2 linked regions of the Danio rerio genome follow. The protein of the gene in region 1 interacts with the protein of each later gene in a biochemical or structural test. Links are inferred from orthologs where the notes say so. Each region holds a gene or a part of one and is shown in the gene's direction. Other genes may lie near its edges.

The links.
Region 2: of the proteins of usp20 (region 1) and hif1ab, one has a biochemical effect on the other in vitro, tested with the Homo sapiens proteins (2 studies listed by BioGRID and IntAct, with this or other methods). The link is inferred for Danio rerio from reciprocal best matches to the Homo sapiens genes USP20 and HIF1A.

The regions. Positions count from the first base shown.
Region 1 is NC_133180.1:33,926,331-33,930,164, forward strand, and holds part of usp20 (ubiquitin carboxyl-terminal hydrolase 20), read left to right. Parts: intron 1-2,519; coding exon 2,520-2,952; intron 2,953-3,834.
Region 2 is NC_133195.1:22,873,553-22,877,386, reverse strand, and holds part of hif1ab (hypoxia inducible factor 1 subunit alpha b), read left to right. Parts: intron 1-278; coding exon 279-535; intron 536-2,960; coding exon 2,961-3,187; intron 3,188-3,301; coding exon 3,302-3,424; intron 3,425-3,767; coding exon 3,768-3,834.

The DNA.
Region 1 (3,834 bases):
CTACTATTTCATGCAGTGCTTCCCACAGGTAAACTTTTATTGAGCTTACCGCTCAAGTATGTTAATTTTTTTTTGTATCCGCCCAATAGAACGAAACATCTACAATCGATTAAGTAGTGGAAAATCTTCTCTCGTTTACCCGTTTCATGCTCGATCTGTGTGGTTAAGACCTGTCGACCCTTTCACAGACAGTTTCACATTCTATAAACACCCACAGAGATGCGCTTTTTTTGTCAGACTGGGGTTTCTAAATCTGAAATTACCGGGATTTGACTTTTGCTTTCGCTTTCTAAAGCTGTCATCAATTATGCACACAGAGAGTGAGAGAAACATTAAATAATTATTTTTTAATTCTATATACTCAGAGAGGAAAGGAATTGAAAGAAATTATGAGTTCTAAATTAGCTGAAAAATATATGTACATTATTAGTATGGGTAATCAATTATTTTGCCCTATTTAAATTATCTAGATGTTTTATTCTTGTAATTATTATATTTTTTTGAGATATTGTCTACTTTTATTCCTTTTTTCTGTCATTTATTTCTAATTTGTTTTATATTTTATTAATTTGATGCCAATAAAGCAAACTGAACTTAATTGTGAGATAGAGTAAAGCAGATTTTATCTGTCAGTGGGTGTACATGGCTCCTGAATAGCCTAAAATTAAAAGAAATAGTGAATTTCTTTTTTTTTTTTTTTTTTTTGTACCTTAACCCATTGTAAGGAAACTGTTTCTTAATAAATTTAATTATTGTTAACAATTAAATTGTTATGTTTGTTGCATATAGTTAACTATTTATCTGATGTGGGTAAAAGGTGTGTTTCAATCCAGCTAGCACCGCAAATATATTTCAAACCCGTGGGAAGCACTGTGGTGTATTCTAGGGCTTCACAATATTGGAAAAAATACATAGCAATATTTAGCATTTTTGATATATATTTTTGATATATATATATATATATATATCATATATATGATATATATATAATATAATGATGATATATATATATAAGACCATTGATATATGTAGACCACTTCATGTTTTCAAGTCATTGATAATCCCTACATGACACTGCACATTCTGCCAATAGTGGATGTGCAATCTGAAAACAATCTGAAACAATACATTGTAGTAGCCCTAGTGTGTTTTATTTAAATTCCACTATAGTGTGTAGTGTGTTTTATTTAAATTCCACTATAGTGTGTAGTGTTTATTTATTTCATTTTTATTTTAATGTTTTTTTTCTGTTATATTATGGTAATATTATAGTATGTTATATTATTTGCAATTCTGTCAGGTCTTTTATTTAGGCTTAAAAAATTTTAGATTTAGATCTCTTTTATTTCAGTATTTTAGTGCTATTTGATTTTTTATTTATCAGTAAGTTATGCACTCACCAGCCACTTAATTAGGTACACTTTAATAGTACCAGATTGGACCACCTTTTGCCGTCACAACTGTCTTTATCTTATCTTTATCGTGGCATAGATTCAACTTGGAACTGGAAATATTCCTCACAGATTTTGCTCCATATTGACATGATAGCATCATGCAGTTGCAGTTGCTGCATTTTTCAGCTGCACATCCATGATGTGAATCTCCTGTTCCACCACATCCCAAAGGTGCTCTATTGAAGTTCTGGTGACTGTGGAGGCCATTTGAGTACAGTAAACTCATTGTCAGGTTTAAGAAACCACTCTGCGATGATTCGCACTTTATGACATGGCATGTTATCCTGCTGGAAGTAGACTTCAGAAGATGGATGTGGTCATAAAGGTGTGGTCATAAAGGGATGGACATGGTCAGCAACAATACACTGGTAGGCTGTCTGTGGCGTTGACACAATTTTCAATTGGTACTAATGGACCCAAAGTGTGCCAAGAAAATATCCCCTGCACCATTACACTACTACCACCAGCCTGAACCGTTGATACAAGGCAGGATTGATCAATGCTTTCATGTTGTTGACGCCAAATTCTGGCATCATCAACCATGTCAAAATACCTTAAAACACCTTTCTTCCCCATTCTGATGCTCATTTTGAACTGCAGCAAATTGTATTGACCACGTCTAAATGTCTAAATGCAGTGAGTTGCTGTCATGTGATCGACTGATTAGACATTTGTGCTAATGAGCAGTTGGACAGGTGTACCCCAATAAAGTGGCCAGTGAGTGTATTTTATTCAAAGATTTATTTCTTTTATTTATATATTTGAAAAACATTTTTACCTGTATTGTTAAAGGAGATTTGTGAGACAAGCTAGAGTATTTGGGAGTGAGGGTTATCAGGAAAAGTCTGCAAGCTTTAATTCGAACTTTAATTGCCCAGAATGCAGTGGTGCTACATGTCAGCATACCACCCACAAGGCTACCGGTGCCAGACAACATTGATTTTGAATAGTTTTGTTAAACAGTAATAACACTCATATGATGTCTACTGTGCATTTTTTAAAGACTATTATTTTCAAAGAAATAATATAAACCTCATTGACATTTTGTTTCTTGCCTGTTTCTAGGACACTCAGGAGTTTTTGCGATGTCTGATGGACCAGCTTCACGAGGAGCTGAAGGAGCCTTTGTTTGACTGCAGCGGTGGCATCTCTGAAGTCGAGCCTGACCTCAGTCTGGACAGCTGTAATCTTGTGGACGGAGACCGAAGCCCCTCTGAAGACGAATTCCTGTCGTGTGACTCTGGATCAGGAAGCGAAAGGGGAGATGGAGAGCGTGCAGGAGGAGAAGCAGAGCTCCTCATTCAAGATGAATGTGTGGCAGTGAGAGGAACCGGAGGCATCTCGGAGAAAGAGAGGCTGAAGGAGAGAAGAGGAGAAGAGAGGACACGTGAAATGGATGAGGATGCAGATGTGGACACAGCTGCACAAGACGGACAGGCTGAGAGAGAAACTGAAACAGCGACACCAGCCACAGCTGTGCCGGCACCAGGAAACACAGGTGTGATGGCCTGAAAATTGAGATTTTTTCATGTTTTTATTGTTGAAAGAGTTATGCTTACCATTTATTAAAAATATAATGTGAAATATTAATACTGCAAGCAGCACAGTGTGTAGCACAATCACCTCACAGCAAGAAGGTTGCTGTTTCGAGCCTCGGCTGGGACAGTTGGCATTTCTGTGTGGAGTTTGCATGTTCTCCCCGTGTTTGCATGGGTTTCCTCCGGGTGCTCCGGTTTCCACCCCAAAAGTCCAAAGACATGCACTATAGGTGAATTGGGTAAGCTAAATTGTCCGTAGTGTATGTCTGTGAATGAACGTGTATGGATGTTTCCCAGTGATGGGTTGCAGCTGGAAGGGCGTCTGCTGCAAGGAAAGAAGCTGAGTTTTCAGCAGCCATTTTGCCAATTTTCAGTGTCACGTGATCAGTAATTATTCTATTATGCATTATATGTTTCTTCTTCTAACCCTAGGGCTGGCAAATTAATCAAAGAGGATTTTTATGTGCATTTTTTCAGTGAAGACGGTTCTAGTAAAACTTCTATTCATCAGATGGAGCGGCATCTACTACACACAGCTGTAGTACACTGAGAAGCTACACAAAAATTTGTAAAAAAATTTATTTGATTTGCTTGGTCGATAATGACATTAAAATCATTGTTCTGTAATATTAACAGCTGTTGAGTTGCTTCTCAGTGAACTATAGCTCTGTTTAGTAAATAATAAAAGTAACATATAATAACATGCAACAAATAATAACATGGTTTAACTCCAAACTCGCAATAACTTCAGTGTTTGAAATGAATCTTGCTGTGAGATGATTCTATAGTTGTGCGTTTATTAGTCACACTGAATCAATCGCATCAGTTAAATAATCTGTGCC
Region 2 (3,834 bases), on another chromosome or scaffold:
AATACATTTGTCACAGGCCTTAAAAACATACAAATGTTAAACTTTTTGTACCTTTAAAGTTCAAATTAGCAATGACTTTACAAATCATGTATTTGAAAACTCCTGTGGTTCCTGGTCAACTATAATCCTAATTTGACATTGCAGGTCCTGCAATAGAACTATTGTGGATTCACTTGTGATATTGATTCTGAAATGATATATTGTGCGTTTCTATGTAAAATGTATGCATAAATGCTAATTAACTCATATTTTCAACTTTACTACTCTGTCTTATCCAGTGGCATTGTAGAGGGGGATGTAGTCCTGTCCTTGCAGCAGACCGTGACTGAGCCCAAGGCTGTTGAGAAAGAAAGTGAGGAGACTGAGGAAAAGACCTCTGAATTGGATATTCTCAAGCTCTTCAAGCCAGAAAGCCTCAATTGCTCATTGGAAAGCTCTACACTTTATAATAAGCTGAAAGAGGAGCCAGAGGCCCTCACTGTGTTGGCACCTGCAGCAGGCGACGCCATTATCTCTCTGGACTTCAACAACTCAGGTAATTCTTGCTGGATGGGTACATTTTTTCAGTAATTTGAGAGTAACTGGAAGCCACCTAAATTCATTCAGTTTCAATGAGAGCTTATTAAAAGATCCATGAGCAAAGATGCACATATCTTTTTATATATTCACATCTAGATTAGTCTTAAGGGACATTCCTGCAATGTTTATTAACACTTCTAGTCTATAGTTTTAATTTTTTACAGTTAAAGTGAACTCTGTGAAATTAGCCCCAATATTGATAAAGAAACCTTAAAATTTCTAACTGGTGGAATCAAGTTGTTTATACCCACTGTAGAATGGGTCAATCAAAGATGACACGCAGTTTTTTAGTACAATTATAGATACTCCCAGTATGTTTTTCACCTGTAGGAGTAGATCCTCCAATCTGTTGTCTTTGCAAAAGCACTTTATCTGTGAAGCATGTTCTCTCTCAACACAGTTTGTGTTGGCTTTAATTCTTTGAGACATTTTTTTATTTAGTTCCACTATGCTACTTTTGAATACATTTTTATCACTGTTAAACCGAATATGGTTTAAGAGATTTTAGCAATAAATGAAAAAATACTTAAGCTTTACTGCAGTCAGTTGATATTTTCTCGCCATGAAAATAACCAAAGAACCTGGCATGGCATTAAACATAAACAAACCTTTAAAGTGTAATTTGGGGGATGTATGAACAGGGATGTATGCTTTTAGAGTTTAACAGGATTCTTTGGAAGTCATTTCTAAGATGCAGATTTTCGCTCAAGAAATATTTATTGTAGTCATTGTTGAAAATTGTAATGTTTTAATGAGTAGAAAGTTCAAATGCACGTCTATTTAGAGAATAAATTTCTGTTGCAACGTAAGAGACTTCACTGACTATGTTTACATGGACATCAGTAATCGAATTATTTGCCTTAATCTACAATAATAAGATAAAGGCGTTTACATGAGTTGCTTTTTGAAAGTTTCTTTCATGATCACATTTTACATGTTATAGCACATACTTAGATTACCGTCATTGCGTCACCGCATTATCCGCATTTCCTCCGAAGTTTCATGTAATTTCGGGTGTTTTATTGTTAATTTGTCAACTTTAACTGCGGTTTGGCACTTTCACTTTCATTCGTGCATGCCCCCGATGACAAACGAGATGTTGGATGCAACTATGAACTGCTGGAAGAGTTGTTGTAATGGAAGTTCATACCGCATGCTGAATGGAAGAAAAAAATGTTTGTTTCTTTATTGAATGATGGAAACTAGTATCATTTGACTTAAACGGTATTTATTTTCCTACAATGTAAGTCAGTAGCTATGCTTCGATCCACCTATTTAAAAAAAAAAAAAAAAAAAACGATTGATGGAAACGCCACGATGCGCATACATTTTGAAAATGCGCATGAACTTATGCGCTTAACTGAGTAGGATAAACTTGTTATTCGATAAGAAAAGAAGTGTAAACTACGATGAAAACACTTTTACCGCACAAATTTCATTATGAGCATTAAAAATGGTCATGTGATTCTGTTATAAGAGATCATGTGATGAAAATGTTTGTAAATGGACAAACCAGCTGGCTGAGCACAATATAAAACAGCTGAAATGTTGTTTTGGTCATTCTAAATTGCCTTACCGTTTAAGTATTAGTGTTATTATATTATTAATGACCTCCAGAATCAAGAGCGTCTGTGCTTCGTGTCTCACACCTTCAAACGCCACTGCGCATTCATTGCGTGTCAGGATTGCCTTCTAAGGTGCAAATCATTTATTAGATGAAGAGAAGATTGACACAGCTTCTTCTACTCCAGCAAGTTCGTTTTTTTTTTTGGTTGATATTTGGTGCCAGTTAATCAGGAAATGACTATTTTGTTCGCTTTGATGGAAACGCTGCTTTATACACACATTTTATGCGATAATCTAGGTTTGTTACATAGCTAATGGCTACCAACTTCCTATACTCTGCTAAAGTCATCTTTTATGTTTAACAGAATTTTGCATTGAATTTGGATGTAATCTACTCATGTGAATACTTCAACTTGCAATTGGTGTGAACTCTGTATTACTGACCATAAACATTTCAAGAGTGTGTATCTTTAGAGCAGTGTTTCTCAACCACATTCCTGGTAGACCACCAGCTCTGCACATTTTCCCTGAGACTGAAAGGCCTATAATGGGTGTGACAGACAATGTAGATAACCAAAACATGCAGTGTTGGTGGTCCTCCAGGCACATAGTTGAGAAACACTGCTTTAGAGGATTAAATGCAATCCCCTGGCAGCTTTTTATCTTATGAAGACTAACAACTCTTGTCATTCACTAATCATCTGAGATTACAGGAAATGTGCTTTCATAATTTTACTGAAGTAAATCTAATATTAAATACACACAGTTCCTTGGTGGTCTACCAATAATAATTACCGGTATCCATTTCCCTCCAGATTCTGACATACAGCTGCTGAAGGAGGTGCCCCTCTACAATGATGTCATGCTGCCTTCCAGCAGTGAGAAGCTGCCACTCAGCCTATCTCCTCTCACACCCAGCGACTCCATCCCAGCTCTGACCAAACTAGAGACTGGAGGAGAGGACTTCCCTTTCAGCTCTGCCTCTGATCGTGTGCCAGACCCCACAAACACACCCTCCACATCTGGACTCGGCTCTTCGGGGGTAAACACTTATTAAACGCTTGCTATTCTTGGTCATTTAACAACAATTGCTCCCTTGTAATGGTTAATGAGATACTGTCACTGACTTTAGGTTGTTTTTTTTTGTCAATCTTAGCCCAACAGCCCCATGGATTACGGTTTCCCAGTGGAACCAGACATCAGTTCTGAATTTAAACTCGACCTGGTTGAGAAACTGTTTGCTATTGATACCGAAGCAAAGACACCTTTTTCCACCCAGGTAACTTTTTATTTAAGATTTTAACTACATATTGTTTGTCTCACTCTCTCCCAAAATCAAATTCTAATTCAAATGAGCTTTATTGGCATGACTTGTCAAGTATTGCTTATATATTGCAAATATGAATATATATACACATGTACATAAAACACAATTACAGATTTGATAAGTACATATGCAAATAAAAAAGACTAAGTTTTTTATTTTATATTATTACAAAGAAAACGAAAGAAAAATAAATTATAAAAAAAACAATATTATAATAAAACAATAAAATAAAATACACAACTTTGCAGTCATTAGATGGTTTGTAATCTCTCTTGCACATTTCTGTGACCTCTAGCCCATGGAGGATCTCGACCTAGAGATGCTGGCTCCTTACATCCCAATGGATGACGACTTCCAGCTGC